Linked DNA regions of Canis lupus familiaris. The protein of the gene in region 1 purifies or fractionates together with the protein of each later gene. This does not show direct contact. Links are inferred from orthologs where the notes say so. Each region holds a gene or a part of one and is shown on either strand. Other genes may lie near its edges.

Region 1 (3,050 bases):
TGCTCTCATCCTCCCCCTTCCCAGAATCAAAACGCTGTGTGACAGGCCGCCTTACCAAAAACAAAGACTTCACTCTGCTGAGGATGCCAAGCCAGGGAGGTAGGAAGGTAGCCAGAGGCAGTGCAGCCTGCAAAGAGAGAAGAGGGATCTGAAACAAGACTTAGAGCCCAGCTCTGGGAAGGAGCTTCTCAAACAAAATTCACTCCAAATCCCAGAATCACCTTAATTTGCCTTCTCAAACCCTGCTAGCTAAGGCAGTTGTGTCCTTGCCCTCAATCTTCATACCTTCATTTATCCTTCAGCCTCTCCTGTCCTTTCTGGACACTAGTCACAGGCAGGTTTCAGGTATAAAACATGAAGGCAACAATTCTGGCCCCTTTATCTACCCATCCCAGAAACGTAAAGTATATCAGCCACCCACGAACCAACCCATCATCTTGGTACCCACTGCACACAATGGAATCAACAGCTTCAATGGGAAAGAGAGTGAGTGATTATGTCTCTTATGCCACAATGACTGAGCATTTGGTGACCTTGCCTTTGTCTCTGGCCCAGGAAGCCTCTTCCAGGTGGGTTCCTACTACCACCCTCCCACCACCGGCTCTCAGACTCACCCATCTGTGATGCTGGCTTGGGACAGCGGGTATCCCAGAGTAAAATTCTGTTGTCCTAGAAGAAGGAACAGGAAAAGAGCTTCACAATCCAAAAAGCAGCTGCGGGCCTCCACACTAGACTTGTGGCCAGAGGGTTCGAGTGTGGTTAGAAGTGAGGAGGGAAGGAAAGGCTGTATCTCACCTCACTGCATGAAAGGAACACGGAATCCTTGTGGGGAGAGGCTGCGACACAGGTGACCTGCCCAGAGTGAGCTGTGAAGGAGAGAGAGGCAAGCATGACAGAAAAGCTGCAGGCATCACTACCAAGCAGCCCAGATACCACCAAGGGACCCCTTATTTCATGAATGCAATCTAACACATTTTGTGAGAGATTTTGGATCAGACAAAACCTAAGAGAAAATGTTGATGGAGTTCTAAAGCTAAAAAGGCATGGGGAAGCCAATGAATTAGTAAAGACAAAGGAAGAAAGATCAGGGGCTGGGCAACAAGAGTGAAGGAATTTACATCCCAGAATAGCAATTTTCAGATTTTAGTACACACACCTCCAGACAACATAGAGAAACTTTCAAGGGAGGTCTGGACACTGACACATTTAGAGAAATAAACTTTCCCAAAGTTCTGTTTCCTAAAACTGAACTGAGAAGTTTCCAGTCTGCCAGTGCCCCTTTCCTTCCTCCTCTTTTACATTCCCCTCCTCCCAGTTTTAGAAGAGACACGCACTTCTCAGCCACCCCACATCTCACCACGGTACAATGCCCAGGTGCCTGAAACCCTAAGGTATTAAACAAAAGGGGCTTTTCCCTGAGAGCCAAAGAGCATCTCGGCAAAATTCAGTGCAGGAGCTGGCCCTGTCTCAGCTACCACAAACCACAACACACCACGAGCAACTAGAGTATTCTGGGACTCTATTTCTGCCTAACAATGAAAATTTTGAGAACTATGACAGATAATGTCCCGAGGACACATCTGACAAATTTAACTGAACTTAAAAATGAAGTCAGACCTTTTCTGATAGAAAGTTGAGTCTAGGGGCTCCTGGGTGGCTCAGTGGTTGAGCGTCGGCCTTTGGCTCAGGGTGTGATCCTGGGGACCCAGGATTGAGTCTGTCGGGCTCCCTGCATGGAGCCTGCTTCTCCCTCTGCCTATGTCTCTGCCTCTCTGTGTCTCTCATGAATAAAGAAATAAAATCTTAAAAAAAAAATCACTGTAAAAATCAAAACCAAACTGACGTGTTACTCAAAGCTATGGTTGCACACCGGCACCATCAGTATCATTTGGGAGCTTCTTAGGAAATAGTCTCAGGACCACCCCAGAGTTGCACTCGGGTAATCCTTTGGTACATTAAAGTTTGAGATGCGGGAATTCCTGGATGGCTCAGCGGTTTGGTGCCTGCCTTCGGCCCAGGACGTGATCCCAGAGTCCCGGGATCGAGTCCCACATCAGGCTCCCTGCATGGAACCTGCTTCTCCCTCTCCCTGTATCTCTGCTTCTCTGCCTCTCTCTCGTGAATAAACAAAATCTTAAAAAAAGGAAAAGAAAAAAAGAAGGTTGAGTCTAATTTGGCCAGCTGGCCTAACAAAGCAGGTTGGTTTTTAGCCAGTTAGGTTATTTGATAGACATTTGGCAGAGGTTACAGGGACTTAAACTGCAAATCCAAAATCTTGACCAACACGTGCTTGAAACCAGTGCACAATAAATGATATGGCCAGAAAGTACCTCCTTTGCAACTATTTAAATTTAAATTAGATGCCAATTTAAAAATGTGTGAGAGGATAGTTTTTCAAAAAATTTTCAGGAGGGCTACATGCTAAAAACTTTAAAGATCACTGCCCTACGATGCATACAGGCTGTGGAAACCACCTACTCTGAAGGCATTTACCAGGCTACTGGAGATAGTCTGAATATGGCTCTGCCCAAGACAGGAGGATGTAATCCAACCACCTTTCATAGTTCTTCCCTAGCCCTTGAATCCATAAAAAGCCAACACAATGAAAAAAAATTGACCACTCACTTGAAAGCAAAGTTCAGAGACAAGCACCATGGGAAAATACAAAAGATAAAAAGTGGTTCCTCTGCCCTCAAGGGATGTGCAATTCAGTGGGGGGAGTAAGACAGAAATACAAAGAACTGATGAAATACTATGAATGGAAAAAGTGCTGAAGGAGTTAGTGCAGACCAGGAAAATCCCTCATAGACCTAAAAAACAAAAGGCATCAGTGTTTTAACATTGACTATTTATAAATCTTGGACTCCCACTAGAGTCTAAGATTTATAAATAGTGAAGGTCCAGGATATGTAGGAGTTTCTAGTTTTTTGCTTTGGCACATATATGAATCATACACTTTGCAATTAGAATTGGCAGGGAATGGCACTTAGCTATTGAGTGAACCAGGTAACTACCTGGCATCTATATCTCTTAACCACACACATATTAAT
Region 2 (3,500 bases), on another chromosome or scaffold:
CTTCACAGCCAGGGGCAGGGCCCTGCTGGGCAGTGCCACCTGCCAGGAGGGAGCTAGAAGTCACTGGGAGAACCAATGTGGGACCTGGAGGTCTATATGCCCCCTGGGGTTATGTGGAATCCAGGGGTTGTACTTCTCTCCTTCCCTAATATGGGACCATTTTCATCTCTATTCTAGGGCGGTTCTGGTACGGTTGGAAGGATGTAGCCACCCGGTTGTCATGAAAGGCCTGTGTGCTGAGTGCGGCCAGGACCTAACCCAGTAAGTACTGGCCCCTCGGGCTGGAGGGCGGGGCCTCTGGGCATTTGAGATGGGGTGACCTACGGGTTCCAGGAGCCTCCACCTCTGATGGCACCCTCCTTATCTGGCGACTTAGGTCCATCTCCCAGGGAGGTGTTCTTTCTGGTTTTGTTTCCCTAAGTTCCGAAGGCACTGGAGAGGTCTGATACTCACCCCCGTGTGGTCGGTTTGCTCTCCTTTCAGCCAGGCAAACGGCACATCTGTGATCAGCCCACGCCTCACTGCTCCCGGGTCCCCTTCAGGTCCCCCCACCTCGTTCCTGGGCTCCTTTTCCACCTGTGGCAGGCGGTCACCCTCGGTAGACTTGCTGAGCAGCATGGACTGTCCTGTTTTGGGGGCTTTCATGTTTTGGGGCCTCTGTTTCAGTGCGGCCATCACAGTTCATTTCCAGGAGATGTCTGTGAGAACTTTCCCATCTGTTCTCAGACGTCAGCCGTTTCAGCAGCTGTGGGCAGAATGAAACTGCACTGTGCTGGCCGTGAACTTCCCCTGCGTGTCAATTAAAATCGTGCCCTCGACGTCCTGTGTGCGTTCTGGGTATAGTTCTTCAGTGTGTTCATCTCCGTGTGCCTTCTCCTGCCCGCAGGCTGCAGAGTAAGAACGGGCAGCAGCAGGTCCCTCTGTCCACAGCCACTGTGTCCATGGTGCACAGCGTCCCGGAGCTGATGGTGAGCTCTGAGGTAAGTCCTGCCTCTGGCAGAAGCTAAGTGTCAGAACATTTCCTGGGAATAGCAAGGAGCATCCGTGGGCCTCTCACTACACAGAGGCTGACTGAGGAAGGTACCAGGTCTGTCGCTGTGATGGTTTCTGGGATAGCCACTGCTGAGACAGGTGGTCTGTGTGCACTGGGTGGCCCACCTGCAGTTTCTATCTTTGCCAAAGGGTTCTGCCCACTAGGGAGGTGCCGGCCCCAAGGGGTGTTGTGGCCGTGTGGTCTCCCTGGCGCAGAACGGGAGGCTGATGGACGGGAAGGCATTGTGCATGCTGCCGTGTGAAGAAGAGTGTTAGGGTGGGGGGCAGGCAGTAGCAGGTGGTGAGAAGTACTTGCAGCAGGCAGTGCTGGCGGAGTGGACGTGGTGTAGAAGGAAAAGACATGCGCTGTGCGCATCCTCATGGAAAGGCTTGGCAGGGCAGTGCTTCTCTGGGGTGGGGCAGATGTATGTACTTGGAACCCTGTTTACTTCTCCCCCGTGTCCAGGGTCTCGTGGGCAGTGCTGGTCAGAGGCATCCTGACACCTTGTATTCAGGGGCCGGGTGAGGGAGGGGTGTGAGGACGGAGCTTCTCCTGTGATGGGGAGGCAGGGCAAGCACCTGTTATTGTAAGTGGGTGAGACAGTTTCAGCGTTAGTTTTACCAGATTTGTGCTCTTGAATGATACATACCGGCTCTATTTTTTGTGGGAAAGACATGTCAGATACAGGATTCTGGCTTTCCTGAATTTTAAGCCAAATGTAAGTATTTAAGAGTGTATGGGGGATCCCTGGGTGGCTGATCGGTTTAACGCCTGCCTTTGGCCCAGGGTGCAATCCTGGAGTCCCGGGATCGAGTCCCGCATCGGGCTTCCTGCATGGAGCCTGCTTCTCCTTCCTCCTGTGTCTCTGCCTCTCTCTCTCTTTCTCTATGTCTATCATAAATCTTTTTAAAAATTTTTAAAAATTAAAAAACCGTGTGAGTGAGTGAGACAGACAGAACTGAGAAGTCAGATAAAAAGAGAAGAAAGTGTCCCCCATTGTTGCTGCCATGACAGATTATCGCTGGCCTGTGTGCACAGCCCTCCCAGGGCTGGACGTTGCAGTCCTATGGCTGGCTGATCAGGACCAGGGGTTTGTCTATAAAAATAGGAACTGAGCCAAGGAGGCATAAGCAATGCGCAGCCCAAGGCCCCTTCCCGGAGGAGGCTCTGTGCTGGCCCCGCGCTGGCCCCAGACGCCACTGCGTGCCCGCCATCTCCAGGAACCCCCTGGGTCTGTCCCACGGGGGGTGGTGCCTCCAAGCATGGCGAGAGGTGTGCCACACCCCTGCCACCTGCCTGTTGCTCCTCAGTTGGCTGCCCTCCTCCCTCCATTTTACAGCTCGTGGCATCCCATCAAACCTTTATGGACACAGCTTTCTTTTCATCTCCTTTTTCATGAGTTAACATGTTACGTTATAGAATTAGATCACAAATCATGTCTTCAGTAGTTGGGACCAAACAGAAGCAGCTTGGGTGGCCATGGAGCAGGCCGTGTGGCTCCCTGTGCTGTGTGAGCGCGGTGGGGCTGCTGGCGTGGTGCGGAGGGCAGTGGCCAACACCTCAACTGCGTTTGTTTGACGAACAAAATTGGATTTGGTTTTGGGTCCAGATATACTCACGTCAGAATCTTCCTTTTTATTTTAACTTCAGCAAGCTGAGCAGCTGGGAAGGGAAGACCAGCAGCGTCTACATCGAAACAGAAAGCTGGTGCTCATGGTGGACTTGGACCAGACGCTGATCCACACGACCGAGCAGCACTGCCAGCAGATGTCGAACAAAGTGAGCGCTTCCTGGGCTGGGCTGGTGAGGAGGGGCCGGAGCCCAAGGCCCATGTGTCTGGGGTGGTTTCCCCAAGCTGGGTCTCACTGGGAGGCATCAAAGCATGCTCTCGCCTCCTGGCTCCCTTTAGGGTTCAGGACCTGGAAGCCTTGAGGCCCAGCGGCAGGCAGTGGTGTTGGCAGCCAAGGAGACACAGTCTGGGTGGGGACAAGGAGCTGGCATTAGGAACCTCTAGGAATCTCTGAAGCATTGAGGGTAGGGGTACAGGTGGGTCCTGGATCTGGACTCAAGAGAGGGCAAATGAAGGCTGGGGTTCTCCAGGGAAATGAAGTTTTCAGAGAAAAGTAAAGGGTCGAGAATGGACCCTTATCTCAGTTAAAACTGTTGCCACGTCCCACCTCTTTGTATGACATGGACCCTGAGAAGCCAGATTTCTTCAGGCACCTTCAGGAGGCATGTAATAGTGCCCATTGACACATGGCTCTCTGAAGGCTGGACTGGCCGATCCTGTCATGGACTAATGAGGCCTTGCCAACACGGGAGCCCTCGGTTTGTAGAATTCTTAGCTGTTGGGCCATCGATGCGTAGACTGTGTCAGAGGTCAGGTTGTCAGCATCTGCGGTTAGCGGTTCTTAACTATGGCAGAGCCTGTAGGAAGGCCTCTGAGGAGAGTGCCAAGGCCAGGCCC
Region 3 (4,048 bases), on another chromosome or scaffold:
ATGGCCAGGCTTCAAAGCCTATATACTCCTGCCACTGCCCTAAGCTGTCTTTTCTCAGTAGAAGGGATGGATTTGGACACAGGGGCAGGACTTCACTAAAGAAAGCTCCAACAGGACTTCCAAATGAGGGCACTGTGGAAACACTAAGCAGAAAACACAACTCAGGGACGCCTGGGTGGCTCAGTGGTTAAGCGCCTGCCTTTGGCTCAGAGCATGATCCCAGAGTCCCGGGATTGAGTCCCACATCGGGCTCCCTGCACGGAGCCTGCTTCTCTCTCTGCCTACGTCTCTCTGAGTGTCTCTCATCAACGAATAAACAAAATAAGGAAGGAAGGAAGGAAGGAAGGAAGGAAGGAAGGAAGGAAGGAAGGCAGGAAGGAAGAAAAGGCAACTCAGCAGCAAAGAAAACTGGCTGGAAAGAGGTCAACAAGACATAGGGATGATCCCTCTCATCGCTTCCTTGGTCTCTCCCCACATTCACCTCCTTCTCCACCATCTACTTGCCTAGCCGATCCATGGTCTTCTCAGTCTCTCTCTCCTGCCCAGAGCAGTCAGCAGGGGCAAAGCTGGCCTGCAGGAAGAAGAAACAGTTACCCAGGACTTGGATGTGTGGGGTACCCCCAGTATTAAGCTACCGTTTCATGGCCTCAAACCCCACTCTTCCATCCTCACCTTTCTGAGGGTGGGGCTGGGACTCTGCAATCCCTATTTCTGTTTTGCCGTATTAGATGCATCAAGGCTGGAGGTAGAAGGGCCTCTCTCCTTCCTATTCCTGCAGATACCACCCCAGCGACACTTCATCCCTGGCAGCATCAGCAGTACCTTCCTATAGCAGCTGCTCGATCCAGTTTAGTTTGCCAACATTGGCAGAGCCAACTTCATCACTGGGCCCTCTCTTCAGGGGTCTCCATCCTAGGCCCTCAGGACCCCTCCTCCAAGCTCTGAGACCCCAGCAGTAGCTGCAGGCAGCACCTCTTCCTGAGAAGTTGGGATTCCAGCTCTGTGAATCTCTTCTCCTCTGAGCCTGTAAATTTTAATCATTTCAACCTCATTCCCTCTAACTTCCTACCAAATTCTGTCTCCTGATACATAGGGGCAACATGTAGCTGTACTTCCTAAGTAATGCTCAAGGGAAATCTTCTTCTACAGCCAACCATATGCTTCTCTGCTCTCATCACTTAAAGACCATTTTGTAAAAGGAACAAGAAATGTTCACAGCCTGCCTAAGAAGACCTGGTTTCAATTCAGGCTCTGCCATTCATTCAGAGTGTGACCTTGGATAGCTTGCTTCAACCACCATGCCTGGGCTTCCTTCTCTGGACACTGGAGAGGACTATTCTGACCTTGCAAGGAGCTTACAATGGAGAGAACACTTCTGAAAACACCACGGACATAACAGGAATGTAACATTAGTTGAACTGAAACCCCCTTTCTTTGCCCTCACACCTAAACTGCACTTGGCACCGGCCTCAGTTGGCTCATGACCTAGTCATCCTTAGATTTAATGAATAAATTCCACCTTGGGAATGGTTGAATGACAACCCTCCGGACTACTGCAGGTCAGCTGATAGGCTCCCTCACGTGCACCACTGCCATAGCCACTTGTCCTCCCATTCACCCACCCTGCCCAACCTTAACAGGATTAATCATCACTCTGCTCAAAAATTTTCAACAGCCCTCCACAGAGGAGCATAACATTGGCCATGGCATTCACACTTCCCCATCACCACCTATCAACCTGTGGAGCATCGTTCTCTCCCCTGGCTCTGAGGCTCTATGACCCCAGCTCCCAGCCATCTGCCCTGTACCTCCTCACCTCCAGGCCTCTGCAGGCACCACCACCCTGTCCCCTTGGAGAGAAGCGTACATCCCTTCCTGTACGTCCTGAAGTCTCATCCCATCTGCATTCCAAAGTAATTTTATACCTATCACTACATTTTTCATATCTTACTCCGGTTTAGTACCCTCTTTGATGCTTAAACCAGCATTCCATTCCTCCCTCAGATTTAGGAGCTGTGTCTCTCGGTACTACGCCAGGCGCCGGGTTTACAGCACTCAACAGAGGGTTCCTCCCCTCGCGGAGCTCACCATCCAGAACTTACTGACCGTAAACAAGGACAGACAGGTGAGGACGGTAAAAACGGTCTTTGAAAAACCAGAAGCTGTCTGGCGCGCAAATGAAAACAAGTTTTTGGAAACCCTGCGTCAAGCTGGGCCTTTGGTTTCAGTAAACAGAAAAGGAGAGCGCAGGAGACCTCATGCGGTGCCCAGGGCGCGCTGTGCGTAGCCACCCGTGGTCACAGGTCCCTCACCTGGCCGCGGCCCAGCCCCCCCACCCCCCGCCCCGCCCCGCCCCGCCCAGGGCCCCCGGCCCGGGCGGTCAGCATCACCTCCCATCCAGCAAGCGCGCAGAGGCGCCGCGGCACCGCCAGCCCGCCGCGCTCGCCCACCCACGCTCTCGGGCCCGCGGCCCGGCAGTTTCCAGCGCGAGCGCGCGCCCAAACGGCGCTCCCCTGGCCCCGCGGCCCCCGCCCGCCCCGCCCCGCCCGGCACGGCCCGCCCGGCCTGGCCCGCGAGCCCCGCAACTTCCCGCCCCGGGCCGCAGGTGGCGGCCGCGCTCACCCCCGGGCTGGGGGGCGCCCCCCGAGGCGGCTCGGCGGCCCCCAGCGCCCGGGCTCCGGCGGCCTGACGGTCCATGCCTGGCGGCCCGCGGCTCGGCGCCCTGGACGCTGCTCGGCCACGTGACGCGCCCGCCTGGCTGCCAGCCGGAGCATACGCCGCGGAGGGGCCAATCAGCCGGGGGTGCTCCCGGCCGAGGGGGGCGGGGCACGGGTCACGAGGAAGCCGGGGGCGGGGCGGGAGGGGCGGGGCCGGCGGCAGCCCAAGCCCCTCACCTACGGGTCCCGGGATCGGATTTTTGTCGGTCCTGCCGGTGCATATCCCAGGGCTGGCGACTAGCTGGGTCTGCAGCGCCAGCTGTTATCTCTGTCTGCCGCACCAGGCTGGATGTGCTTCAGCCCTCAAACCTCGGATTCCTGTTAGAATATTCAGTTACCGGAGCCTACCTGACAGTCTCCGAAGCTCAGCTCTCAAAAGTTAAATTGAGCTCCAACCACATTGCACTCTTTTCGTCACAGGTGCTTGTAGAACTCAGGCTAGAATTGGGCCACCCACAAATGGATGTGCCCAGTGATCCTCCATCCTAAGTTAATGATAGTTCTTAAAGTTAATGCATCAGAAACCAGGACAGATGATGAAAACAATGTGCAGACACCATATGAGTCACACTGACCCTAAACATTGAGCTGCCACGGTAGCCTGGCCTGGGCTCCTGTTTTTTGATGCTTGTCAACAACTGGCCCTCTGCAGCCCCAGGGGAACAGCAGGCGGCCAGGGCAGGAGCTGGAGATAAACTCAACTCTAAAGTCAGCTTTCCCTGCCTTTCCCATACTGCCTAAACTGTTAATAACAAACCTACTTAGGGTGTAATAATCATTTTAACAATGAAGTAGAAGAAAAGCTAGAAGCTGGGATTCCTGCTCACTAGGCCACCTTATGACAATCTTTGGGGATATTAGACAGCTTACTTCATCTCCCTTGAAGAATGTGTTTATAAATCATAAAAGAGGGCACCTAGGTGGCTCAGTTCGTTAAACATCTGCCTTCAGTTCAGGTCATGATCCCAGGGTCCTGGGATTGAGTCTGGCATTGGGGTCCCTGCTCAGCAGGAAGTCTGCTTCTCCCACTCCCTCTGCCCATTCTCTCTCTCATAAAACCTTCAAAAAATAAAAAACCATAAAAGATATTTTTAAAAAATTAGTATAATGGGAGTGTGGAAGGGATGGGCAAAACAGGTGAAGGGGAGTGAGAGACACAATCTTCTAATCATGGAATAATAAGTCATGAGGTAAAAGGTACAGTGAAGGGGAGTGAGAGACACAATCTTCTAATCATGGAATAAGTCATGGGGTAAAAGGTACAGTATAGGGAATATAACCAATGCTACTGTAGTGGACTTATATGGTGACAGATGGGAGCTACACTTGTA
Region 4 (3,986 bases), on another chromosome or scaffold:
TGTACTGGGGACCCAGCTAGCCACCTCGGGTTCTTACCAGCTTTTGCTCATGTAAGCGGGCGATGCTCATGTGGGTGAGGGTCGGCTCAGCCTCACTCAGGTCAGCGGCACTGCCGGGTAGAAGGGAGCACAGGGGTGGGAAGCTGTGAGGTCAGGCCCACGCTGCCTTGGCTGGACCGTGTGCGAAGGCTGTGTGAGGGCTGCGCTAGGCCGCTTACCTGATGCTCCTCCCTTTCTGGAGCAGCGTCCACACTCCATTGGGGCCCCGGTAATCTGGGATGGAGGCTGCCTGCACGTCCACAAAGAACATAAACCCGGTGACAATGCATCACTGTAGGAACTGGCACAATTTGCAAGAGTGAAAAGCAAACGTTCCTCTTCACGTGGTGTTCCAGGCTTGTCCTCGCACTAGGCTCTATCCATTCTGGAGGCTCAGCACTTCCTACCATAACCTGCCTGCACCCAGACAGAGGGGCTCCTTCCCTCTGCCCACACCTCTGCTCCCACCTGGTCTAGCTCATCCCTCCAGGTCTCAAGGATCCTGCCGACTCTGGGAACCTCTCCAGCACTGGGAATAGCCCAGGCTATGTAGCCACACCCGTCCTCTAAACCGAGGCAGAGGACTGGCCAGGCTCATCTGTGGGTCCCCAGGGCCCGGCCAGTGCTCCGGGAAGGTTTAGCAAATAGTGAAACCTCAGGTCAGAGCACTCAACTGTCCTAATTCTTGTATCCTGGTAGTGTTTGCTGTCTTCCCTTCACAAAGATAGCCAATCTCTCCACACAAGATAAGCACCACTGAACTTCTCTAGTTCTCGATCCAGCAAAACAAAACCATCATGAGAGAAGACAGTAGGCCAGGATCAAGGACTCCTGTGTTCCCCAGGCTGTGAGTGACCTGCCTTCTGGGGAGCCCTGTCTCCCTCCTGCAGCTGAAGCTTGGAAAAATGCCCATCCTGAAGAGCGTGGTTCTGAATGACACTGAAGAGAAACCTCAATCAGTAATGCTCAACTACAGAGCAGCACACGGCTGTCCGTAACCCTGTGCAGCACCCCCACAAATGACAGGAACGCACACGTCACTGGAGGCAGGAGACCCCACTACCAGGGCTCCAGGGTCTGCAAGTCAGGGTGCTCAGTGCTCCTTACACATTCTTGTTTTGGAGGCTCTTACTCTCACCCTTGCCCGTAAAACCTTACTCAACCTTCAAGGCCTGGCTTCAATGCTGTATCGCACAGAAAGCCAACCAGATGGATTTCGCTGCTGAAGCCATGAGGGGGTGGGATGGGGAGGTGGCTGTCTGCGTTTCCACTCTAGCAACCTAGCACAACCAGCTTTGCCTTAGCTGTCTGCTTACACGCCATATTCTCATCGCCTGCGGGCATCTTGAGGCTGGAAATCCTCAGGCTCCCCTGTGCTGGGCCTACACTGCATCACACTCAACATGCACCCGCTAAGTAGACAATGACACTCTCAAAGCTACCCATGTTCTGTGGCCCGAGACAGCTTCCCAATAAAACCTGCCCAAACCCCACGCATTTCTCTCCTTCCCCTGGTGTACTCTCGTTCGTCCTGCCTTGCTTCCTAGTGACTTTCAACACGTAGAAAATCCGGTGAATGGGGAACCTGGAGCAAGTTCTGGGCTTAACTCTGCCCACCTAACCTTGGGCTAGTGATGAACCACCTTGACTTTAAGTGAGGAGCTGCCCGCAGGCACTGAGGTTTCAGTCCCTCTTACGCCTCCTTCCTTTCTTGTGTCTAAACGGGCATCGCAAAAACTGCATACGTTGATAAATGCTTATCTCCCCAGTGAAGTTTGAAGTGGAATCATTTCAAGCCTCTCTGGGAAACCACATGGGTAGGGGGCGCTTGGTGGCCACCCAAGGTCCTGATCTCCGGGTGGTGGGGCCCTGCGCTGGGGGGGGGGGGGGGCAGTCTGTCCGAGAGTCTCTCTCCCTCTGCCCTGTGCACGTTCTCTCAAATAGATAAGTAAGACTTTAAAAAATGACGAGAGAAAACAGTGGGGTGCCTGGCGGCGTCAGTCGGAAGAGCGTGAAGCTCTAGATCTGAGTCCTGCGTCCCAGCCCCACACTGGGTGTAGAAATTGCTTTTAAAAATGGACCAAGCAACGGCTTGGAGACAGCACAGCAGAGCTGCTCTGCGCGAAGGTGCGTTTCCTGCGGTCAGGGCCGGCGCGCAGAGGGCTCTGCCGGGTCCTGGGGCCCGTCACCCGGCAGGGGGCGCCCCGCCCCGCGCGGGCGGCCGGACCCTGGAAAGGGCCGCCTCACCGTGCTGATCCCCGCGCCGGTGTAGACCACCAGGTACTTGGCGTTGCGCACGGCGCCGGCCAGCTCGCGGACCTTCCTGCGCAGCTCCTCCGGGTCGTCGCACACCTGCCGAGACGCCGAGGCCGGTCGTAAGCCCCGCCCCGCCCCGCCCCGCCCCGCCGGCCCCGGGCGCGCCGCGGACTCGCCTCCTCCTGCCGCCGCTTCAGGCCCTCGCGCCGCCTGCTCCGGCCCTGCAGCTCGGTCACCAGGTCCTCGCTCTCCGCCAGGAGCCGGCCCTCCTCGGCGCTGCGCTCGGCCACCGCCTTCCTCAGGATGCGCGACACCTGCGGGCGCGGGGCGGGCGGTGAGGGCGGCGCGGGCCGGGGGCGCGGCGCGGGGCGGGCGGCGGCGGCGTACCTGGCGGAGGCGCTCCCGCTGCTGCTCCTCCCGCAGCCTCCGGACCCGCTCCGCCGCCTTGCGCTCCGAGCGGCTGGGACCCCCGGCTGCCATCGCTCCCGGGAGGCCCGCGCTTCCGCTTCCGCCTCCCGGCAGGCCGCGCACCGCGCATGCGCGCCAGGCGCCCCGCCCTTCCGGCCCCGCCCACGCCGCGCGCAAAGGAGGCACCTGACGGTCTCTTTAAAAGGTGTTTATTGGTCATATACAAAATAAAGAAAACCTTATATATCACAAACATACACTATGTACAGCAATAAATACCCGGGGTCCGGCCCAGTGCCGCCCCCCCCTGGACAATAATTTAGCAATAAATACTGCACAGGGCAGGCGGGGCGCTGCGCCGCGGCCCAGGGAGGCCCCTCCTCGCCTGGATCTTCAACGGCCCGGGAGCCCCGGCAGCCCCCGGACCCCCGCCCCTGCTTCCAGCCCTCGGCGACTCCCTGCACCCAGCCCCTCAGCGCCAGGGCGGCCCCGGGGCCGGGCACCGGGCTAAACGGCGGCGCCACCCACTCCCGTTTGGTTAAAGGCTTCAGGGAGCAGCAGGGTGCGGGGTGCGGGGTGCGGGGGAGGGAGGGCCGGCCCCTCGAAGCTCCCCGGCACGCTCCCCTCCTGCTCGGGCTGCCCAGGCACCACGCACCAAGGCTGCTGCCCCAGCGCGGGGTGGAGACCCGGTGACTGGCCCACGGGGACAGCACATGCTCAAAACACACAGGCCTGCAGGAGGACAGGCCACAGCCCTGCCTCGTGTGCCCTCCACGTCTCCCCGCCTGCTCCAAAACTAGACGGCCAACAGGAAGGCAAAAACGCGCCAAAACGAATTATTCAGTGGCTTCTGGGGGGGGGGGGGGATCGTTACCGTGTTGGTTCCTTTCACCAAACCACAGCCTAAAAAAGCAACTTACAAGATCCCAGAGCGGAAGCGGTGCTGCAGGCTGTGGCTTGGGCTGCCCAGTGGTGGATGGGAGCTTGAGCCAACTGGCCACCTCAGAGAGGGGAGGCGACAGGGACAGGAGGGGGCTTGACCACCTGTCCCAAAGCAGGCCGCAGCCAATCAGAGCTGTGGGCTCACGCGCTGACCACAGAGGCTGCTGTTGACCATCAGCGGTGTGCACAAAGACCTGGAGCAAGAGCAGAAAAGCCTCCAGGGGAGACCTGGCATCCGGCAGAAACCAGAGCACCACACGGCTGAGCAGCCACATCTCCTCACCTGGACAAACAGCAGTGCCACCCAGAGCAGCAAGCCAGGGCCATGGGGAGGTCTCCCT
Region 5 (3,500 bases), on another chromosome or scaffold:
CAATTTCCCAAGTACTATCACTCTATTAATGATCAGCTGGTCAATTCTGTGACGAAGGCCACTACAGGTAGAGAACACATAGCTATCCTATGACCATGTGGAAGCCAACTTTAAAACTTTAGAATTTAAAAATGACTTCTTGGGTTGAGATTTCATTTTTTTAAAGGACACGAAACGCCATACCGGAAGTTCCTCGGGGACCAAACACACTCACAGCATGTTAAATTCACTGAGATCTGCATGGACAAGTCTGGCATCCTGATACATTCTTCTCATGTACTGGATGACCTGCAGATACAACTCCCGAGCCTTGGATTCTGATAACTGGACGTTTTTCAACAGTGGCGCTGGCCTTCAATACAAATAAAATAAACTAAGAGAAAATGCCCAGAACAAGTTTTCTTGGTTTATAATACATTGCTACATGGACTTTTTGACAAATCATCACTAAAAAATCTGGGTCACTACAGATGTACCAATGCAAAAAATTGTCAAGAAACAGGTGTTCTCCCAGCTTACTGTATAAAACATCCCTCAAAACTAGGGTGAACTTTGTTATTTTGAAACATTTTGGGACCTAAAGTAGAATAAATGAGCAGCTCTGTGCATGATAGTGGAAAAGATTCACAAAAAACCTTCCAAGCTGAAAGGAGCTATTTAAATGGGAAATGGTCATAACACTGGATAATCCAAAGCACTTAAAGACACACTTCTGAGCATGTAATTATTAGGCATTCCATGTACTCACATGTCGTCTTTACCAATGAAGCCCATGACAAGAACATGACTTCTCAGCAGGATAGGCTCTGGGCATGGGATCTGTGCTGTGTTTAGTCTGTAGTATTCAATCAGATAAAAGGACAAATGAAAAGGTGACACAGAATCTCCAGCAAATTAAATGGCTACAGAACACAAGATCAGTATCACTGTAAGGTAACAGCACCAACACATCTCAACTGTATTACTGTATTTCATCAACTTTAAGGCCCAACATATCTCAACTGCATTACTGTATTTCATCAACTCTAAGGCCCAGTGATTTTAAGTGGTACCATGATGCACAACCAAGAATGACACAACACTGGCAATTTAACTACATCTCACAGCCTCTCATGTGGGGCACTTGGGTGGCTCAGTCAGTTAAGCATCTGCCTTCAGCTCAGGTCATGATGTCAGGACTTGTGGGATCCAGCCCCAAGTTGGTCTCCCTGCTTAGCAGGGAGCTTGTGTGCGCTCTCTCTCTGAATAAATGAAACCTTAAAAAAAAATTATTGCCTCTAGTGCTCAGCCCAATTCCAGAGATGTCCAACTTGCAATGTGCATCTCAGAACTGATGAAATGCAGCAGATATGTCCTCTGAGTTGATTAGACTCAACAATGAGTAATCAAACAGTTGGGTCTCAGGACTCCTGACTGGCTCAGTTGGTAGAGCACATGACTCTTGACCTTGGGGTTGTGAGTTCGAGTCCCACACAGGGTGTAGAGTTTACTTACAAAATAAAAACCAGTTGGATTCATACCTGATAGCTAAGTGAACATAGGAAGATTTCAGAAGACTTTCAAAACAAGTACTTAATACTAAAATATCCAACATATGTCACCAATGCACAGCATATAAAAAATTAAAAGGTATTTGAAAAAGGGAGGAAAAGAATACCTTCAAATTTTTGAGAAAACTTGATCTCAACTAGGTTAGTTGCCCTCACCTAATATCGAAGTGTCAGCACAAAGAATATATAAATATGTCCAAAATTGGACTGAAGAAAAGGAAACTATGATAATAGTATAGGACCTAACAAAACTATCTAAAACTCTAATGCCTATAAAAAATGACACGTGAGCCTCAAAACCTGATTGTCATTTCCCTGTTTAAAATCTTGCAATAGCCTCCTATCATCCTCAGTATAAATTTTAAATGCTTTCACACACCTTCCAAGGTGCTTCAAATGATCCAGCCTTGCTGGATGTGAATGTGAATTTTTCTGTAATGGGTTCTCAAAAGAGAGAAGATCAGGTTTTTATTTGTTGCTTCTGCTTACCTCAGCAGATCTAACAGACATGAACATCACTACAAGTCTCCACCTTTGGACAGAATCTACTGGGAGCCAGCAGGAAGGAGCAAGGGCCAGTATCTTGAGCACAGCACAGACACATGCCCCAGAGAGTTACCTGATTAAGTTCCTCATTTCTTTTTCTGCCCAAGTTTTCACCATTTTCCTGGGGTTTCCTTTACAATAGCCATGACGAAATCTGGAACAAGAAAAATATTTGTTATTCCAAACATTCCATTATTCCAGTTTTTATTTTAGGAAACAGAAATTAGGCCAACTGGAAAAAGAATCTGAGCTCACCTGAATTCCCCACTTACATACTTATCCCGATCTTTGAACACCAAAATAGAAGTTTTGTAAATTTTGATTGCTCTGCTCTCTCCATTTGCTGTGCTAGCATGGTACACATTAGCCTATTTTGTGTCAAAAAGAAATGAACTTTGTGTTAAATAACTACAAACAGTATTTTAATTTTCACTCTATTTGATTCTATCCTCAAAAGTTTAAAAAATTCAAGTGAACTGAAGCGACATGCATTAAGCAATACCATCATCATCCGAATATGCCAATTACAAAACGTCATACCAAAAGGTATAGTAAGTAGAGCTCTAATTTACACATATAGTAAGATCCACTTTACAGACAAGAAATGGTTTCGAACAGTTTCCTCTCTCAAGTGTGTGAAAAATATTTCAAGACATTCTTATTTCATCATTTATAAACTGAGTTTTACTGAGAACTGCTTCCCATAGAAAGAGTTGCTAATTTAAAAATGCCATGGGGGGGGGTGACTGGGTGACAGGCACTGAGGGGGGCACTTGACGGGATGAGCACTGGGTGTTATTCCATGTGTTGGCAAATTGAACACCAATAAAAAATAAATTTATTATTAAAAAAATAAAAATAACGCCATCTGTATCCACATACAAAGAAAAAATGGTAAAGAGATTCATTTACTCAGAGAACCTAGATTAATCCCCTGTGCCCATTAGTAACTATGTGATAAGCACTCAAGCCTGCAGTAATCTGACCATCTATGCTTACTGTGAGCATTACCTGCACTCAGTGAACCAGGATAGTAACAGTGGTGAAAACGTATAGTTCTGTGTACAACCTCCTGCCTACGCATAAATATTAATAAAGCTGTTTTTAGAAATACTAAACTATTCTGACTTGTGTATTTTTTTCCTTTTTCTTTTAAAGGCACCATGTATTTATTAAGTGCCTTAGTTTCATTTAGTAGCTGAAGTAAGAAAACTAACATGAAAACATTCAGGCATCCAAAGAAAAGCTCACTTCTTTTCCTGTGCTAATGCAGCCATTTATTTCTGATATGATTCCTCTAGTTAACATCTTGAATAATATCATTCGTGTTCTAGGATCCAACACCTATAAAAAGCAAAAAACCAGAAAGTTTAGTAAGACAGTACCAAATATTTCTTTTCTTCT
Region 6 (4,228 bases), on another chromosome or scaffold:
TGGCCCACCCACCCAGTCCATTTCCCTCACAATTTAAATCCCACCCCCATGCAGCCCACTTCTCACTTGATTTTCCTGAACTCATCACAGTCACAGAGAATCAAATTCATATGCTTGTCAAAAGCCTTGAAGGTGCCAATGAAGATCCGGCCGTCTTGTAGGATGCACCTCATCCTATAGTCGATGTGCTGCAGCATCTTGCTGCTCTTGCCCACAGTCTGCAAGGAGAAATCAGCAGGATCAGAGTCAAGCTCTTTTGAACCTATATATCCCTGGTCCTTCCTAAAAACCAGCTCTGGCCTACTTTTCCACATGGCTATCTCTCTCAACAACTTCTCAGCTCTGTCTTCCTTTCCCGGGGAATTCTCCCACACCCAGTGTTCAGCCCAGACCTCTGCCCACAACTCTCTTACTCTCCCTTAAAATCAGTCTTTTTCATATCACAATTGCCTGTGTGTCTGCTGTGTCAGTTTCAGGGGTGAGGAGTAAGGTATCTCCAAACTAATCCAATCCCCCCATACCAGATTAGCCATCTGCCACTATGCAGGTTACAGGTGTGTGACTCCAGTGCTGTGGAACACCCACAGCCCAGTTAAAGGACCGAGTAAAACAGCTGGAATGATTGGCACTAAGGATCCAATCAGCAAGAATCTATTATCAGAAAGGAGCTGATGAGCTTGGAGGCAAGGCAAATGGAATCCCTAAACGAAAAATGTTAATGTGCCTCCAAAACTGTCTTTGGGAGGGAAACTTTCTGGTGGCCAGGGTGCTCATCAGTTTGAACACATAATGGTCTTTAAACTTCTTTATCAATCCAACAACCTTTTCTGGTTTGTAGCCTGGCTTCCAAGGTAGCTTTGGTAAAAGACAGACTAAATAGAACTCACAACGCAAATTGCCAGGTGCCTTTGGCAGTTATACCTCTCTAGAAATAACCTGGCATTTGATTTGTGTATCAGCCTTCCAAGTGTCGTCTTCTTGCCAGTTACTGTGCTTGCTGTTCATCTCTGTAAGCTTGGACAAGAACAGGTTTTTCAACCCACCAATGTGTGGATCAGAGCCTTGCCTAGAGACACAAGTTATGTGGCTCACTCTCCCTCAAATGACTGTTAACCAGCTACAAGCTGGTTAACTTGAGTCCAGTGTCCCCATTTAAATCTGCCCTCTAGATTCTAGCCACACAGATCTGAAGCCTTATGGCAACATTTACTGGTCTGTCCACCTTATAATAGGTAAGTCTTCCTGGTCGTTCACTGCGTACCAGGCACTGTGACAAGCACTAAATATCTTTTATTTTTTTAAACATTTTATTTATTTATTCATGAGAGACACAGAAAGGCAGAGACACAGGCAGAGGGAGAAGCAGGCTCCATGCAAGGAGCCTGATGTGGGACTAAATCCCGGGTCTCCAGGATCACACCTTGGGCCCAAGGCAGATGTTTAACTACTGAGCCACCCAGCAGTCTCTAAATATCTCATTTAATTCTAAAAACCAGGCTAATTATTATTCCTATTTTACAGATGCAGCCACTGAGGTCAGGAGAGGTTAAGTAGCTTGCCCCGTCTCACAGCCAGGAAGCTGGTCTGGAACCTAGACAGACTGAATCCAGTGCCTACTCTTCCAAACCAATCCTACAAACAATCCCCGGCTTTCGGTTCACCCAACACGCAACAGCCACAGAACAGAGCGCTCTTTCTAAACACAACTGCGTCCACGTCATTTCGCTGGCTACATCCTTCCACGGCATCCCTCATCACCAACGGGATCAGGCAGCATGGAAAGCCTTTAGTAGCCAGGTTCCTGCCAATTCCTCCCATCTCTTCTTCCATCCCTTCCCCCTCGACCCCTCCAGGAACCCTCAACAGTGCGGCCCTTCACGCCCTGCTCTTGGAGCCCTCCCAATCTACAATACTCCCTTCCATCGAGGCTGGGGAGACTCCTGTAACAACCTGTTAGGACTCTGCTCAGGAACCATCTACTCCAGGAAAACGTTCTTATCCCGCCCCCCCCCCCGCCCCGTTACTTTTACGCAGCGCTTAATTACCACTCTGGATCATATTACCTGCGTCCGCAACTAGAAAGCGAAAGGAGTGGAGTAGCCCCAGTGCCTGAGAAGCCAGACACGCTCACACAGACCTGCCCCACAAAGGAGTTGAACCCTTCCTCCATCTTCGGTTTCCCTCCCATTCCCTCCTCCCATCTGCTAGACCCAAGCACGCTCTCTAGTTTCGGCCAGAAGTCCTCCCCGCTTTCCGCAAGTCCCCCTCAGACCCTCACCCCGTTTCACGAGTCCTCCTGAGGCTCTTATGTCTGCTCCGAAACCCCAAACGCGCATTTATTGCGCAAAAGTTTACTTCGTGCCTGCAGGATCCCAAGCACCGTGGCTACAGCGGCGTGGACAGCCGCGGGCCCATCCTCGCCACCACCTAGCGGCCCCGGCCTCCGTCCCTCGGCCCCAGCCCTCCCTTCCCCCAACCCGTCCAAAGGCCACGGTCCGAGTCTCCCCCGCCCAGACGCGGCGGCTGCGGCCCGGGCCTTCGCCGCCATGAGCCCCCAACCCACGACCTCCTCCCGACCGGCCGCGGTGCCCACTCCACGACAGACTCGGAAGTTCCCGCGCAGCCGGCCTGCCCGTCCTCACCATGGTGGCGGTTCTGATGGCTCCGATTCCCGCCGGATTGCCCTCAGCAGAGGCCTAGACGCCCGCTACTACACCGCTTCCCGCCGCCGCTACCGGAAGTGCGGCCGCGGATAAAATGGGGTCGGGTAAAAACTACTTCCGGCCCGGCGTCGGCTCTTGAGTTCCGGCCAAAACGCCGACCTGGGAGCCTAGACGCCCGCGGGAGTTTGGGGCGGGGCTAACGTCAAACAACATTTCCCGGGATGTTAGGTCACCTCCCTAGCTTCAATCGGTTCCGGAGCTGCCCGCACGCCCCTCCCCATTACCTCTGGGTCTCCAGGTCCCACCGCTCTTCCCTGGCCTGTCCTTTTCTGTGAACTTGCTGGACGAGCTCCTGCCTTAGCACCTTTGCAATGCTAGTCGTCCAGGTACCTGCACGACTCCTGCCCGAACATCCTTCAGGACTTCAGCTCAAGTAACATTTTCCCACTGAGGACTTCCCTGGCCATCCTTATTTAAACTGCAGCCTTCCCGCCCTTACCTGCTTTATCTTCCTCCTTAATGGTGATCCCTAATATACCGTGTTTCTGTTGTTATTCCTCCCCATTAGGATGCAAGTTCTGAGGGTATAGATTTTCCTTTGTGTATTTTTCGTTACCGCAATGCCTAGCTCTAAACATATTTCCATGAACAAATGAGTCAATCAACCAATCCCATCCAGTCCTATGACTTGTGAATACTACCTAAATGCTCAGGAATTTCAGATTTATTCCTCTAACCCTGGGTGCTTTATTTAACTCGTGGCCAAAATCTCCAGCCACCTGCTTGACCTGGAGGTCTAATATACTAAATATAACATGGTGAGGGACGCCTGGGTGGCTGACTGGTTGAGCATCTGCCTTTGGCTTAGGTCATGATCCTGGGATCCTGGGATCGAGTCCCGCATCACGATCCCCGCAGGGAACCTGCTTTTCCCTCTGCCTATGTCTCTGCCCCTTCCTCTCTCTCTCTCTCTCTCTCTCTCTCATGAATAAATAAAATCTTCTTTTTTTATTTTTTTAAGATTTGCATGGGCCAGAGCTGGTCTACAGTCATCAGGCAAGCCAAAGATGGGAGCAGGGTCACCGAGGGACTTGGATGTGCATGGGGAGCCAGGGTGACATTGACACAAAGCATATACTGCATAGTGTCTGCACCTGAAGGGCTGCAGCAAACAGATATATCATGCATATTGGGAGAAAATAAAAACAGCATAGCATGGTATTATATTCCATTTCCACTGGGGAAAAGATTATGCTAGGAATCCCATTGCTGACAAACTAGGGCAGGTGTACAGCTAGGTTGTCTTCGAGGGATGATGGGGGGTGTCACTAGCAAGGTTGGACTCCAGGGATGAAGGGCTGAGGGGGCATGGTATCAGGGCTGTGTTTAGGGGTCTTTAGACCTATGAATTGACACAGGTAATAGCTAAGAAGCCTAAAGCAGTAATTTGGGGGCTAGAGAACAGTTGGGGGACAGTTAAAGGACCTGACCCTGGAATCTGGAAGACTGCAGTGGGAGTGTGGTTAAAGGGTCCCTGGATCCAGAGGACATGAACAGACCACTGA
Region 7 (4,096 bases), on another chromosome or scaffold:
TAGTGTTTCACCATTGTACATGGTATTTACTGTTGGTTTCTATCCTTTATGATATTAATGATATTTGTTCTTTTTCCAGATTGCTCACTTTTTAAAAATTAAGAATTTATGTTAAACTCATATTAAACACCTTTTCCATATTTTATGATGTAATTATACATATTATCTTATTTAATCTATTTTAATTAATTAAAAAATTTAATATACTGAATTGTATAAATAGATATCCTAATGTTGAACATCCTTGTAAATTTCTAAAATGCTCCCCACTTGGTCATTATATTGTTTTTAATATGCTGTGATTTGTAATGTATACTTTGCTAATATTTTATTTAGGGTCATTACATAGAAATGAATGATTAATTATAATTATTAAAGATTTATTTCAAAGGCCCATCTTACCATTTTTTGAGTATTGCTAATAAATTGGAGTGCTTGGGGCAGCCCAGGTGGCTCAGCGGTTTAGCGCGACCTTCAGCCCAGGGTGTGACCCTGGGGGCCCGGGATCCAGTCCCATGTTGGGCTCCCTGTAGGGAGCCTGCTTCTCCCTATGCCTGTGTCTCTGCACGCCCCCCACCCCTCGCTCTGTGTCTCTCATGAATAAATAAATAAACAAATCTTAAAAAAAATAAATTGGAGTGCTTTTCATCTTTTTCTGTGTTCTAGAAAAGTTTAAATAACAGAAGAATGATCTTTCTTAAAAGGATTAGTAAAATAAAATCTTTAAAAAAAAAATAGGGGCTCTTGTCTGGCTTAGTCAGTAGAGTATGTGACTCTTGATCTTGGGGTTGTAAATTCAAACCCCACGTTGGGTGTAGATATTACTTAAAATCTTTTTAAAAAGAAAGAGTTAGTAAAAGTGTCGTTAGGGGTTAAAATCTTTAACTTTCTATTTTTTCTTAGCTATTAATTTATTTGAATTTTCTACCTCTCCTTGCATAAATTATTCTGATCATTTTATTTTCCTTGAAATTTTCATCTGGATCTTCAGATTATTTGATAAATTGCACATACTTTTATTACTTAGGGTTCTAAGTGACAAGCTACCAAACCAACTCTGAATAACTTTAGCAAAAGAAAATTCATTTGGCAGATAATAGGATGTTCAGACTATTGACAGAAGGCTAAGAAGTTAGGCTTAAGAACTGAGGATGGTCAGGAAGGTGAAAAGGAATCACAGGAAACTTGTCTTATAACTAACAGCTAAATTGTCTGACTGGTGCACTGCTGCTGCTGCTGTTTCAATATATAATTCCCAATTGGTACTTCTGTTCTCTTATCACTTAATTCAAGATTCAGACATGAAGAAAAAAGACTCTGATTAGTCTCTGCTCTAAAAGGGAATGGAAAGAGGCTGGATATGGATTTCTTAACTTGTTTTGAAAAGCAGGTGCTGGGAATTATTCTCCCACCCAAACAACCCATAATAGAAGAGCAATAATTCCACAAAGAGAATTGGGAACCTATTATGAAGGAAAATGGATGTTGGCAGCCCCCCTAAAAATTGCCACTTCAACAGCTTTCCTCTAAAATATTTAACCCTCTCTCTTTTTTAATTTCTCAAAATCATTCATTGGTTTATATATCAAATTTGCTACTTTTTTACTTTCTGGTTTCTTTACTATTGCTTATGTCTTTATTATTTCCTTTTTATCACTTGATTCATTTTATTCTTTTAATGCTATCCTGAGTTGTATGCTTTTATTGTTGTAAAAAATTTATAGTTTGGATATTTTTGCTGTTGTTTTCTATTCATTCTAATCACCCCTTTGCTTTAAAATTGTTTCAGTTGAATTTCTTTTAGAGATAAGAACCTTGATGCTAGTTTTAGCAATATTATAAAGTGTATCAATAAGAATTTTGTCAGTGAAACCTAAACAATTGTAAGTATTTTAAACAGGAAAGAAGATCAGAAACAGTTCTTGTTCACATGGGATAAGCAACAATATACATTACAGTTTTTCCATAGATCTTATCTCCCATCTTCTGTCATAATAAAGTCTGAAGAGATTTGGATCATCTGGATTTCCTGTAAAGCATCACACTGTTCCATTACATTGATGGTTTTACCTTGATGAGAGCAGGTAAGCAAGAGGTGGCTAGCCTGCTAAATGCCTTAAAAAGATACATATACTCCAGGAGACAAGGCTTGGCACATCAATAAAATTTTTAGGAAGCCAGTGCTTAGAAAACTGCCAGGATATCTTCTCTAAACTAAAAGACAAATTATTTATCTTGAACTGCCTTCACAAAGAAGGAAGGCTCCAGGAAGTTTGTGAGTCATGACATTAGGTAAGCAACTGAGGCTGGCAGATGTGGAAGCTCAGGGTAAAAGGAATCTAGAATGGATAGAAAAAAGGCAGAGGATGGATGAGCATCACCTGCAGCCTCAAGAGCAACTACAAGGGCCAGGGCCATCATTTTTTCTTACCACCTCCCTCTTCTAAATTTTCCCTCAGGAAGAAAAGCCTACCGTAGTTTTGAAGGAGCCACTCTTGGAGCATATATGAAAGGTAGACCTAAGAGGTGCAAATGGTGCACTCTAAAAATGGGAAGATGAGTTTCCCAAATTCCACTTCATGGAAGGGTTTGCTACCTACCTGTGAAAAGTGTGATGAGGAGACATTTCTTCTGATGACAACTAAATGTCAGATCCTTCCGAGTCTGCCTCAGCTGCAGAGAATGGCCTCACCTAAGGGGATGCCTTTCCTGGACAATACACACCAGGTGACTGAGCAAGGCAGGATTTAACAGTCTAACCACTCCTGCCTGACCCAGAGACACTGTGACAGGCCACACTCACTCCAGAGCTCCCCATGAGTTAACCAGGGCTTTGTTGAACCTGCATTGCAGTCTCACTTTTCTCTCTGCTCACTCCTGCTTAACCTCACTTCCTTTCACTGGAGTTAATTTCTAACTTGTAGCCCCAACTCTGTCTCATGTCTGCTTCAGGAAAACCCTAACATTTATTTCACAAATAAAAATGAATCCTGCACTACACTCGGTGCTGGGGCAATAAAACTTATTTTTTAAAGTTTTCTATGCTGGGGTACCTGGGTAGCCCAGTCAGTTAAGCATCTGCCCTCACCTTGGGGAACCTATGGTCTCAGGGTACTGGAATCAAGCCCCACATTGGGCGCCCTGCTCATCTGCTTCTCCTTCTCTCTCGTCTCCTCCCCGCTGCTCATACTTTGTCTCCCTCTCTCTCAAATAAATAAATCGTTTTTTAAAAAAGTTTTCTATGCTCAGACAATATAATTTGATCACAGCATAATGGAGCATGGTAAAGGAAATGTTTTGTTCAGGATATTTACTGTATTCTTCATAGCCTTCAACATGATATACTTTTACTTACCTCCTCATCCTCAAACTTAAGGGAAAACACTCTAATTTTATTTTGCCAAAAACACAAGCAATTTTCGTTCCATGTAGTTTCTGTCTTCTCTAAAAAAGCAAAATTGAAGGGCTATTAACAAACTGTGGAAATTGTTTTCCTCTGGAGGAAACATGCTCCCTATTGGTCACCTCACTCAGCTATTTACTGGGAAGGCCTTTTTTGGTTTCAGTTACGGTAAAACTCTGGATTTTAGCCAAATTCTCTGAGTTCAAAAGTGCAAAGCTCTTTAGGAGACTTGCTCTTTCTAAATATTTTTTCAAAGGTTAAAAATTAAATTTCAAAAGAATATCCAGGGTGGAGAAGAGAGACAGACCCTGAAAGTTTCCAATATGAAGCTTGTTCATGTTATTTTGTTACATTTGTGCTTCTGCCTAAGTTTTTGCAAGGTAAGTAACTCAATATTTAGCCTATTTTAAGTAGATGTTTTTAATATTATAAGAATGTAAGAAAAATCTTAAGACATGGGTGAAGGGAGGGTAAAATAAAATAATATGAAATCAGACAGGGAGACAAGCCATAAGAGACCCTTAATCATAGGAAACAAACTGAAGGTTGCAGGAGGGGAGATGGATGGGAGGATGGGGTAACTGGGTAATGGGCATTAAGGAGGGCATGTGTCATAAAAAGCACTGGGTGTTATATGCAACTGATGAATCACTGACCTCTACCTCTGAAACTAATAATACACTATATGTTAAT

Evidence for each region.
Region 2: the proteins of WDR77 (region 1) and CTDP1 fractionate together in Homo sapiens (co-fractionation; 3 studies listed by BioGRID and IntAct, with this or other methods). This does not show direct contact. The link is inferred for Canis lupus familiaris from reciprocal best matches to the Homo sapiens genes WDR77 and CTDP1.
Region 3: the proteins of WDR77 (region 1) and COPRS purify together in Homo sapiens (affinity purification with mass spectrometry; 3 studies listed by BioGRID and IntAct, with this or other methods). This does not show direct contact. The link is inferred for Canis lupus familiaris from reciprocal best matches to the Homo sapiens genes WDR77 and COPRS.
Region 4: the proteins of WDR77 (region 1) and SIRT7 purify together in Homo sapiens (affinity purification with mass spectrometry; 3 studies listed by BioGRID, with this or other methods). This does not show direct contact. The link is inferred for Canis lupus familiaris from reciprocal best matches to the Homo sapiens genes WDR77 and SIRT7.
Region 5: the proteins of WDR77 (region 1) and RIOK1 purify together in Homo sapiens (affinity purification with mass spectrometry; 5 studies listed by BioGRID and IntAct, with this or other methods). This does not show direct contact. The link is inferred for Canis lupus familiaris from reciprocal best matches to the Homo sapiens genes WDR77 and RIOK1.
Region 6: the proteins of WDR77 (region 1) and SNRPB purify together in Homo sapiens (affinity purification with mass spectrometry; 4 studies listed by BioGRID and IntAct, with this or other methods). This does not show direct contact. The link is inferred for Canis lupus familiaris from reciprocal best matches to the Homo sapiens genes WDR77 and SNRPB.
Region 7: the proteins of WDR77 (region 1) and GAR1 purify together in Homo sapiens (affinity purification with mass spectrometry; 3 studies listed by BioGRID and IntAct, with this or other methods). This does not show direct contact. The link is inferred for Canis lupus familiaris from reciprocal best matches to the Homo sapiens genes WDR77 and GAR1.

What each region holds. Positions count from the first base shown.
Region 1 is NC_049227.1:41,099,300-41,102,349, reverse strand, and holds part of WDR77 (methylosome protein 50), read right to left. Parts: intron 867-3,050; coding exon 796-866; intron 670-795; coding exon 615-669; intron 128-614; coding exon 56-127; intron 1-55. UniProt on the Homo sapiens protein: Non-catalytic component of the methylosome complex, composed of PRMT5, WDR77 and CLNS1A, which modifies specific arginines to dimethylarginines in several spliceosomal Sm proteins and histones.
Region 2 is NC_049222.1:901,734-905,233, reverse strand, and holds part of CTDP1 (RNA polymerase II subunit A C-terminal domain phosphatase), read left to right. Parts: intron 1-177; coding exon 178-261; intron 262-886; coding exon 887-980; intron 981-2,683; coding exon 2,684-2,812; intron 2,813-3,500. UniProt on the Homo sapiens protein: Processively dephosphorylates 'Ser-2' and 'Ser-5' of the heptad repeats YSPTSPS in the C-terminal domain of the largest RNA polymerase II subunit. This promotes the activity of RNA polymerase II.
Region 3 is NC_049230.1:41,069,588-41,073,635, reverse strand, and holds the start of COPRS (coordinator of PRMT5 and differentiation stimulator), read right to left. Parts: upstream 2,801-4,048; 5' UTR 2,698-2,800; coding exon 2,623-2,697; intron 572-2,622; coding exon 505-571; intron 1-504. UniProt on the Homo sapiens protein: Histone-binding protein required for histone H4 methyltransferase activity of PRMT5.
Region 4 is NC_049230.1:1,199,738-1,203,723, reverse strand, and holds the start of SIRT7 (NAD-dependent protein deacetylase sirtuin-7), read right to left. Parts: upstream 2,801-3,986; 5' UTR 2,776-2,800; coding exon 2,683-2,775; intron 2,610-2,682; coding exon 2,472-2,609; intron 2,392-2,471; coding exon 2,287-2,391; intron 290-2,286; coding exon 219-289; intron 111-218; coding exon 38-110; intron 1-37. UniProt on the Homo sapiens protein: NAD-dependent protein-lysine deacylase that can act both as a deacetylase or deacylase (desuccinylase, depropionylase, deglutarylase and dedecanoylase), depending on the context. Specifically mediates deacetylation of histone H3 at 'Lys-18' (H3K18Ac).
Region 5 is NC_049256.1:8,659,621-8,663,120, reverse strand, and holds part of RIOK1 (serine/threonine-protein kinase RIO1), read right to left. Parts: intron 3,441-3,500; coding exon 3,348-3,440; intron 2,465-3,347; coding exon 2,352-2,464; intron 2,251-2,351; coding exon 2,170-2,250; intron 836-2,169; coding exon 749-835; intron 353-748; coding exon 215-352; intron 1-214. UniProt on the Homo sapiens protein: Involved in the final steps of cytoplasmic maturation of the 40S ribosomal subunit. Involved in processing of 18S-E pre-rRNA to the mature 18S rRNA. Required for the recycling of NOB1 and PNO1 from the late 40S precursor.
Region 6 is NC_049245.1:19,125,571-19,129,798, reverse strand, and holds the start of SNRPB (small nuclear ribonucleoprotein-associated proteins B and B'), read right to left. Parts: upstream 2,801-4,228; 5' UTR 2,646-2,800; coding exon 2,643-2,645; intron 219-2,642; coding exon 67-218; intron 1-66. UniProt on the Homo sapiens protein: Plays a role in pre-mRNA splicing as a core component of the spliceosomal U1, U2, U4 and U5 small nuclear ribonucleoproteins (snRNPs), the building blocks of the spliceosome.
Region 7 is NC_049253.1:9,901,444-9,905,539, forward strand, and holds the start of GAR1 (H/ACA ribonucleoprotein complex subunit 1), read right to left. Parts: upstream 2,801-4,096; 5' UTR 2,601-2,800; intron 1-2,600. Other genes in the region: CFI (complement factor I), read left to right, coding at 3,727-3,783. UniProt on the Homo sapiens protein: Required for ribosome biogenesis and telomere maintenance. Part of the H/ACA small nucleolar ribonucleoprotein (H/ACA snoRNP) complex, which catalyzes pseudouridylation of rRNA.